Caenorhabditis elegans: one gene and its partner. The protein of the gene in region 2 interacts with the protein of the main gene of each other region in a pairwise test. Each region holds a gene or a part of one and is shown on either strand. Other genes may lie near its edges.

The links.
Region 1: the proteins of skr-20 (region 2) and fbxa-101 interact in a two-hybrid assay, tested with the Caenorhabditis elegans proteins (one large-scale study listed by BioGRID).

Annotation. Positions count from the first base shown.
Region 1 is NC_003279.8:12,957,844-12,961,905, reverse strand, and holds fbxa-101 (DUF38 domain-containing protein), read left to right. Parts: upstream 1-1,973; 5' UTR 1,974-1,986; coding exon 1,987-2,045; intron 2,046-2,100; coding exon 2,101-2,184; intron 2,185-2,241; coding exon 2,242-2,923; intron 2,924-2,970; coding exon 2,971-3,174; 3' UTR 3,175-3,266; downstream 3,267-4,062. Other genes in the region: fbxa-140 (F-box domain-containing protein), read left to right, coding at 445-497, 552-1,224, 1,274-1,534; F08A8.5 (Galactoside 2-alpha-L-fucosyltransferase), read left to right, coding at 4,004-4,049.
Region 2 is NC_003284.9:13,222,196-13,225,180, forward strand, and holds skr-20 (Skp1-related protein), read right to left. Parts: upstream 1,343-2,985; coding exon 821-1,342; downstream 1-820. Other genes in the region: skr-19 (Skp1-related protein), read right to left, coding at 2,046-2,513.

The DNA of each region.
Region 1 (4,062 bases), on a different chromosome or scaffold from region 2:
GCATCTCATTTGACGCACAGAATTCCTAGTTTATTGTTTTTGGATTTTCAAAATTTCAAACATAGTTTTTGCATTTTTCCTGTCGTTTTTGTGATTTTTATTTGTGAAAATTTATTAGACAGAAAAGAAATTTTCAGTTTTCACGAAATTTACTGGAAAATTTGTTATTTTACCGTTAGGTAACGTATTTTACAAAGATATTTCACTTTATCCGTATTTTCTTATTGTTTTCTTCACTTCAAACGATTGAAAACTGAATCAATCAAATAAATTTCCTATTTTTCAGGTAATTTGTCAAAATGACTGGCTCATCTCGTGGAATTGTCGAAATGACAAAGAAACTGGATCGATTAAATTGTTAGTGTTAAAATGAAATTTGCATCGGATTCAGTTTAAAATTTGCTTATTTTCAGATCGAAGAAAAGACCACTTACGCTTTTAAGCATGCCAGTTGATGTTATGGAGAAAGTTATGAAGAAAGTGGATCCATACGATTGGTATCAAATTTTGAATGTTAGGCAAATGTTAAAAAAAAACCAAATGAGTTTCAGGATTTCCGTCCGCAATTCCAATCGAAATCTTCGAGATTTCGTCGACAGCCAGCACCTCAAATTGGACATTGATGTTTCTATTGAGGGCACTTTTCACACCATTGATATCAATGGAAATCAATCCTTCGGACCTTTCCATCCGGTCGTGGCTGATGATGAAAGAAGAACCATCTACAATAAAAGACTACAGTTTGCTCTCAGAAAATTGTTCGTGGTTATGAAGCTTCCAAGTGCCCAAATTGAAGAGTTCAAACTGGATTTTGACTTTATGGGAAGAGGAAGTGACGAATTTGAAGATATCTACGATATTGGTTCCAGAAGAGTTAGTTTTAAAAATAAACTGTTGAGTGCAAGCCTGAGAACAATCGATAAGGAGTTTGGAGAGTTTCACTGTTTCCAAGCGAAATCAGTTTCTCTGAGTGGACTAAAGGAACCTCGAACTGTGCTCATTCTCAAATCTTTCAAGTCTGGAACTCTCGAGAACATTGAAATCATTAATTCCTACAAGTTCTACTTCAGTTGGCAGCTGACGCTTTCGGAGCAGTGGAAGAATGCGAAAAAACTGAAAACTGGACTTTCCACTGATCGCTACACCGGAATTCGAGTTGCTGAACTGTTCGCATTTTCAAATATCGAATTCACAACTGTAGTATTGTCATCTGATTTGAAAGTGGTATAGAAATTCTTAATTATTGATTAATTAATTTTAGATTTTTTTTCAGTTGGTTGATTCGTCTGCAAAGCTGGAAACTTGTCTCAGCAGGAACACGTATGACAGCGAGGATGACAGCGATGAAGATAGTGATGAAGACAGCGATGATGAGGACAATAGTGGAGTGTTAACGGTGTCAAAAGAAGTGCTCAAAGTGTTCGATCCGAACTTTGTTGGCTATAACGGAACAATCAATTACAAAGCAAATGGATTCGAATATCTCATTGAAGTCACTGAATTCGAAACTAAAATTGTGAAGAAAATCGAATAATCTTCTCATTTTTCAAAATTTGCTTTTGTTTTACTAGTCACATGAATTCTTATTTTGTTACTTTTTTTGTTTTGAAACTGATTAAACCAATAATTTGGGTTACGGCTGAATGTTACCTTCCGTTTAATATTTTGTAATCTTCCCAGTTTTTCTATATTTTAAAAGGAATTCTCGAATAGTTAACAAAGATCCTTTTCCAAACTACGGTAACTCTCAGAGTACGCAGTATGCGTACCGGGCATCTCATTTGACGCACAAAAATTCTAAATTTTTTTTTGAATTTTCAAATGTGGTTTATGCGTTTTTCTAACCAATTTTTTGTGATTTTTCCCCTGAAAATGATTTAAAATAAGTAAAATAACCTGTTTTTGTAAAAATTAATTTCGTTTTTACACATTGAACGTGATTTTCTATATTTACTCAAATTAATTTTTTTCAGGTAATTCGTCGACATGACTAGCCAAAGAGCAGAAATTGGTGAAACGACGGACAAGCAGAATTCCATGAAATTGTTAGTTATTTAGGCTACAATAATTTCAAATAACTTTTTTAAAACACATTTTCAGATCGAAGACAAGCTCGCCGACGCTTTTTGACTTGCCTCTGAATATTATGAAGAAAATTGTGAAGAAACTGCATCCATACGATTGGTAAGATCAAATAAATAAAAATTATATTTTTAGAAAGTATAATAAAAATATTTTCAGGATTTCCGTTCGCAATTCCAATGGAAATCTTCGAAGCTTCATCGACACCTTGAAACTGGATTTGGACATTGATATTTTTATTGAGGGCCATAGGTACACCATTGTTCTCAATGGAAAATCATTTCGTTATCGGTATAGATTTGTGCCTTATGATGAAATAAGCAACGCTCGCAATGAACCTTTCCATCCGGTCGTGGCTGATGATGAAAGAAGAACCATCTACAATAAAGGACTACAGTTTGCTCTCAGAAAATTGTTCAATGTCATGAAGCTTCCAAAAGCTCAGATTGAGAAGTTCAGTCTAGATTTCGACTCAATTGGAGGATATGAAGACTATGTCCACAATGAACGGTTGAGGTCAAGCCTGAGAACAATCGATATGGAGTTTGGAGATGCTCACTGTTTCCGAGCGAAATCAGTTTCTCTGAGTGGATTCAAGAAACCACGAGCTGCGCTAATTCTCAGTTCTTTCGATGCTGGAACACTTGTGAAATTTGAGATTATGCGTTGCATCTTCAACGATATTCGTCCACTAACTTGCTTGGAACAGTTTAAAAATGCAAAACAATTGCGAACTGATCTTAACATTTGCTCCGTCTTTGGATTTACTGTGTCGGATCTTCTTGGATTTTCAAGTATTGAATTCACCAGTCCAGAGGTATCGCCAAATGATCTGAAAGAGGTATAGCAATAATCAATTTTTAGTTGATTTAATTAAAATTCTTTCAGTTGGTAAATTCGTCTACAAAGCTGGAAACTTGTGTCGTCAGCAAGCAATTAGATGATAGTGAATCAATTGCAGAAGAAATGCTCCAAGAGTTTGATCCTACCTTCGCTGGCAAAACCGGAACCATCAATTACAAGGCAAATGGATTTGAATATGTCATTGAAGTCACTGAAGAGCGAGTGAAAATTGAGAAGAAACTCGGCTGATTATTTAATTTTAATTTTTGTTTTTTGGTTTTTCAAAAATTGTTGTTTAATTTATTGTTGTTCATCTCGTTCTCATGAATTTGCTTTTGTCATTTTTCTTTGATCAACACTGGAAGGCTAATAGACTACAAACTAGACATTTTATAAGCCTAAGCCAAGAAAGTACATTGAAAAAACGTCGCTTCCGGTAAAGAAAATAAATCAACCGAAAGCGAAACTTGACTTTTTTTTGAAAATTATTTATGGAAAGTTCATGTTTTTAGTCGTTTTAGTGAAAAAATTTAAAAAAAAAAATTAAAAAAAAAAAAAAAATCAAGTGCTTAAATAAATTATATATTTTTGAAAAGAAAAATGAATTTATTCCTGCTCTAAGCTACAAATTTGTCATATTTTGAACCTTTCTTCTAGAAATTTTAGCTGAAAGTGAAGAATATACTAGCAAAAATTGTAAATTAATTTTTTAAAAACGTTTTTAGAAATTTTAAATTTTTTCACAAAAAAAAAATTTCCCAAAGTGTTTTTTCAAAATTCAAATTTTAATTTTATTACAAGCCCAAAACGTGTAACGAGTTCTATAACAATGATCTGGACCGCAAAATATGTCATTTTTGCAGCTATTTACACATCCCTTCGATGCACCATGGGGGCTCATTGCTCCAGTCATTGGCTATTTGGATACTATTAATAATAATACAAATACATGTTTTTCGCTGTAAATTATTGATTCCCGCTACTATATAATCATATTATTCAAGTTTTGAGAGAGTTTCAAAATTTGAAAAAAAATATTTTGTTTTGGAAATTTTTTAAGTGTTTGAAAATTGAAACTATGAGGTATAATTCGAATTATTTGATGTATTTTTGCTTGGTTTTAGGTGAGTTAGTGTA
Region 2 (2,985 bases):
GATTTAAAAATTGTTTTTGAAAAACTATATACAATTTTCGTATAACATTGTTGACATTTTTGTTCAATGTTCAATTTTCAGTTTTCATTAAAATTGTTGATGAAATTATCATGTCCTAATGCAATGTCCTAATGCATACATAAAAAATTTTAGATGAAATGGATTAGCATGAAAAAAGCTATACAATAAAAACTATTATTGGAAACAACCGGCACTGGATATATGAATATTATGTATCTTTTAATCACAACTCTCGAAAAAGTTATCCCCCCAAAGTCTGAAGAATTGAGCATAGTGAAACTTTACTTAACTAACAAAATTGAAAAATAATATTCCACAAAAAAGGGCAAATTAAGGCAGATGAAAAAAAAAACTTTAAAAAAAAGCACACTATTAAATTTTCCAGATTTAGTAATCAGAACGCTGCATTCAATTCCGTCATGAAGTTTATAAACGTTTAGTTCTTTTAAAACCTAGTATTTTGCAATAAACACCAGAAATGTACAAGTTCGGCCAAATTGGATGCAAAATCAGAAAAAATCGGAAATAAAAATCCGGTAATTTGGGGGCTCACCTCATATTCTGAAACAACGAGAACTTGATTTACATATGGTTCTTTGATATTTAATTTTAAGCAATTTTTTAATTAGTAGTGACACTTTAGTTGTTTGTTTTGTTTTCCAACTATTCTTTTACATTCTTATAACTTCAATTTTTCATTTATGAGGTTTGTAAAATAATTTATTCACAAATAAACTTGAATCAAAGTGTATAAATATATTCTTTCAAACATCTTCTTCACAATATGTGAAATTAAACATCAATCAGAATCCGTTGTGAATGTCATTGCAGATGTTCCCTCTCCACCATTTGCCAACGCTTCCTCCATTTGTTCTTCATCTGACCTGATTCCATAGATCTTGCGAATTTCTTCCGTGCTTTTTCCTCGAATCAATTCTGCTGCGGCTGCACACCCCATATTCATCAAATCTTCGACTCCAAGCGCATGAGAAGCATTGAGTAGTGCAAAAAGAACTCCCGATTCCACGTTGAAAAACTGCTTGTCCCATTCGGAAAAATCGTGGTAACGAATTTTGGAGTCTCGTCGGGCGAGCGGGTTGTCCTGATAATGGTAAAGCCACTCTATTACAGCTTGAACAATCGATGAGTGGAATGGAACGAGAATTGGATCTGCTCGTTCACAATTTCTGTCGTTCACTCCATGGTCAATAAACTTCTGATTGATAAATGCACAAAATTTCATTGGTCCTCGTTCGACATTAAAAATTTGACCATCCTCTGACTTCAGTTTGTACAAGGGCGCAGATCGTGGTGTGGTCATGATGTGGAACTAAAGGTAATTGATTAAATAGTTTTGCAATTGTTTCAAAAATATTATTGAGTGGATTCAAACCACACAAAAATAAATATATAAATGAGATATCTTTAAAGTAATTTTTATTATTTATTTGGCGAATCATAGACCTGTGGAAAAGAGCTGGAAGAATACACTATGAATTTATTAAAGATGGAATGAAACGATTAAAAACTGGAATTGTAAAATTTTTTGAAGAAAAGTGAATGGCGTTGTGAGTCAAGTTGATCAAAGGCAAATTTTCTATATTACAAATCTACAGCGAAAGTTTTAAAATATAAATTGAACGAAGAAGCAGAGAAAATAAAATTGAATACAAGACGGTTGAACACGGGAAATTAGCATTAAATGTGGTGGTGGCTGAGAAGTATGGTGGTTGTATTTAAGTTTTTTTGTAGGGAATCGAGAAGAGAATTTTTGATTCAAACTTGAAAAATAAAGTTGCATTGTTTACAAAATTAGTATGGTTTTTGCATTTTTTCTGTAAAATATAAAAGACGAAGAATACTTTTGCTAAAATGTTGCCCAAATTATCACAAAAATTTCAAAAATGGGCTCAACTTTGATCTTATGATTACATTTTTCTCACTTCAAATATTTACTGAAATGAAAACAAATAGTCTAAATTTTCCCATACCATACGAAACACCACACATCTGAAATGAAATTCCTAAGCCGCTGCAGCCACCACTGGATATACTGGCTGCTCCTCCTCTTCATCATTCACCAATCCGTCAATAATCTCTCTAGGATTTTGTCCGACGACACGGCAGCACATGGCGAAGAGACCAGGTACAGTAAAATCCCTCGCGGCTCGGATTATATCAAAGAGCATGTTGTGCCTCACCATCAGAAACGACGCATCCCAGTCAGGAATATCATTGGTTTCCGGTTCAGATTCGTCGTAGGGCGGGTCGTGCTTATGATGGTCGCACCACTCGATCACTTTCCTCATCACTGTCGCAGGGATTTCTAGTTGAATTGGCTGCAGTTGATCGGCAGGAATCAGGTCTAATCCAGCATTTCTAAATAGGTCCTCAATCCGTCCTATCATTCCGATTGTTCGCCTATCTGCCAGAAATCTCTGCCCATCTGTTGACCGAAGTTTGTAGAGTATTACAGGTTCTTCAACTTGCATTACACTGAAATACTTGAAAATGTCTGTAGTAGAAAGAATGAAAAGAAGAAAAAAAATTAGCAAATAATAGTAATAGTCAGGATTCAAACTATTTCCTTAAATTTTCTAGATGAAGTTCTATTTGTATGTAGTTTCTTGCAGAAGAAAAAACTAAATTAAATCGTTTGACAATAAAATTCAATGTGTAATAATTTCTTTCGCACTTTTGCTTTAAAAAACGTAGCTGAAAATAAAGTTTTTTTATCCGATTCTTAGAACTATTACAATGTTAAACACAGAAATTTTTGGATCAATAAAGTGTATGTCAAGAATATGATGGGTGACCACTAGTTGGTACAAAAAAAATGAAAAAAAAGTCACTGATAAGTCACGACAATCATTACTTTCTGTTGAACAGTTCAATTACATAGCACATTAGGAAAAACTGATTTGAAAATAGCGTTTCAAGAATGTATTATTTTACTAAAATGTT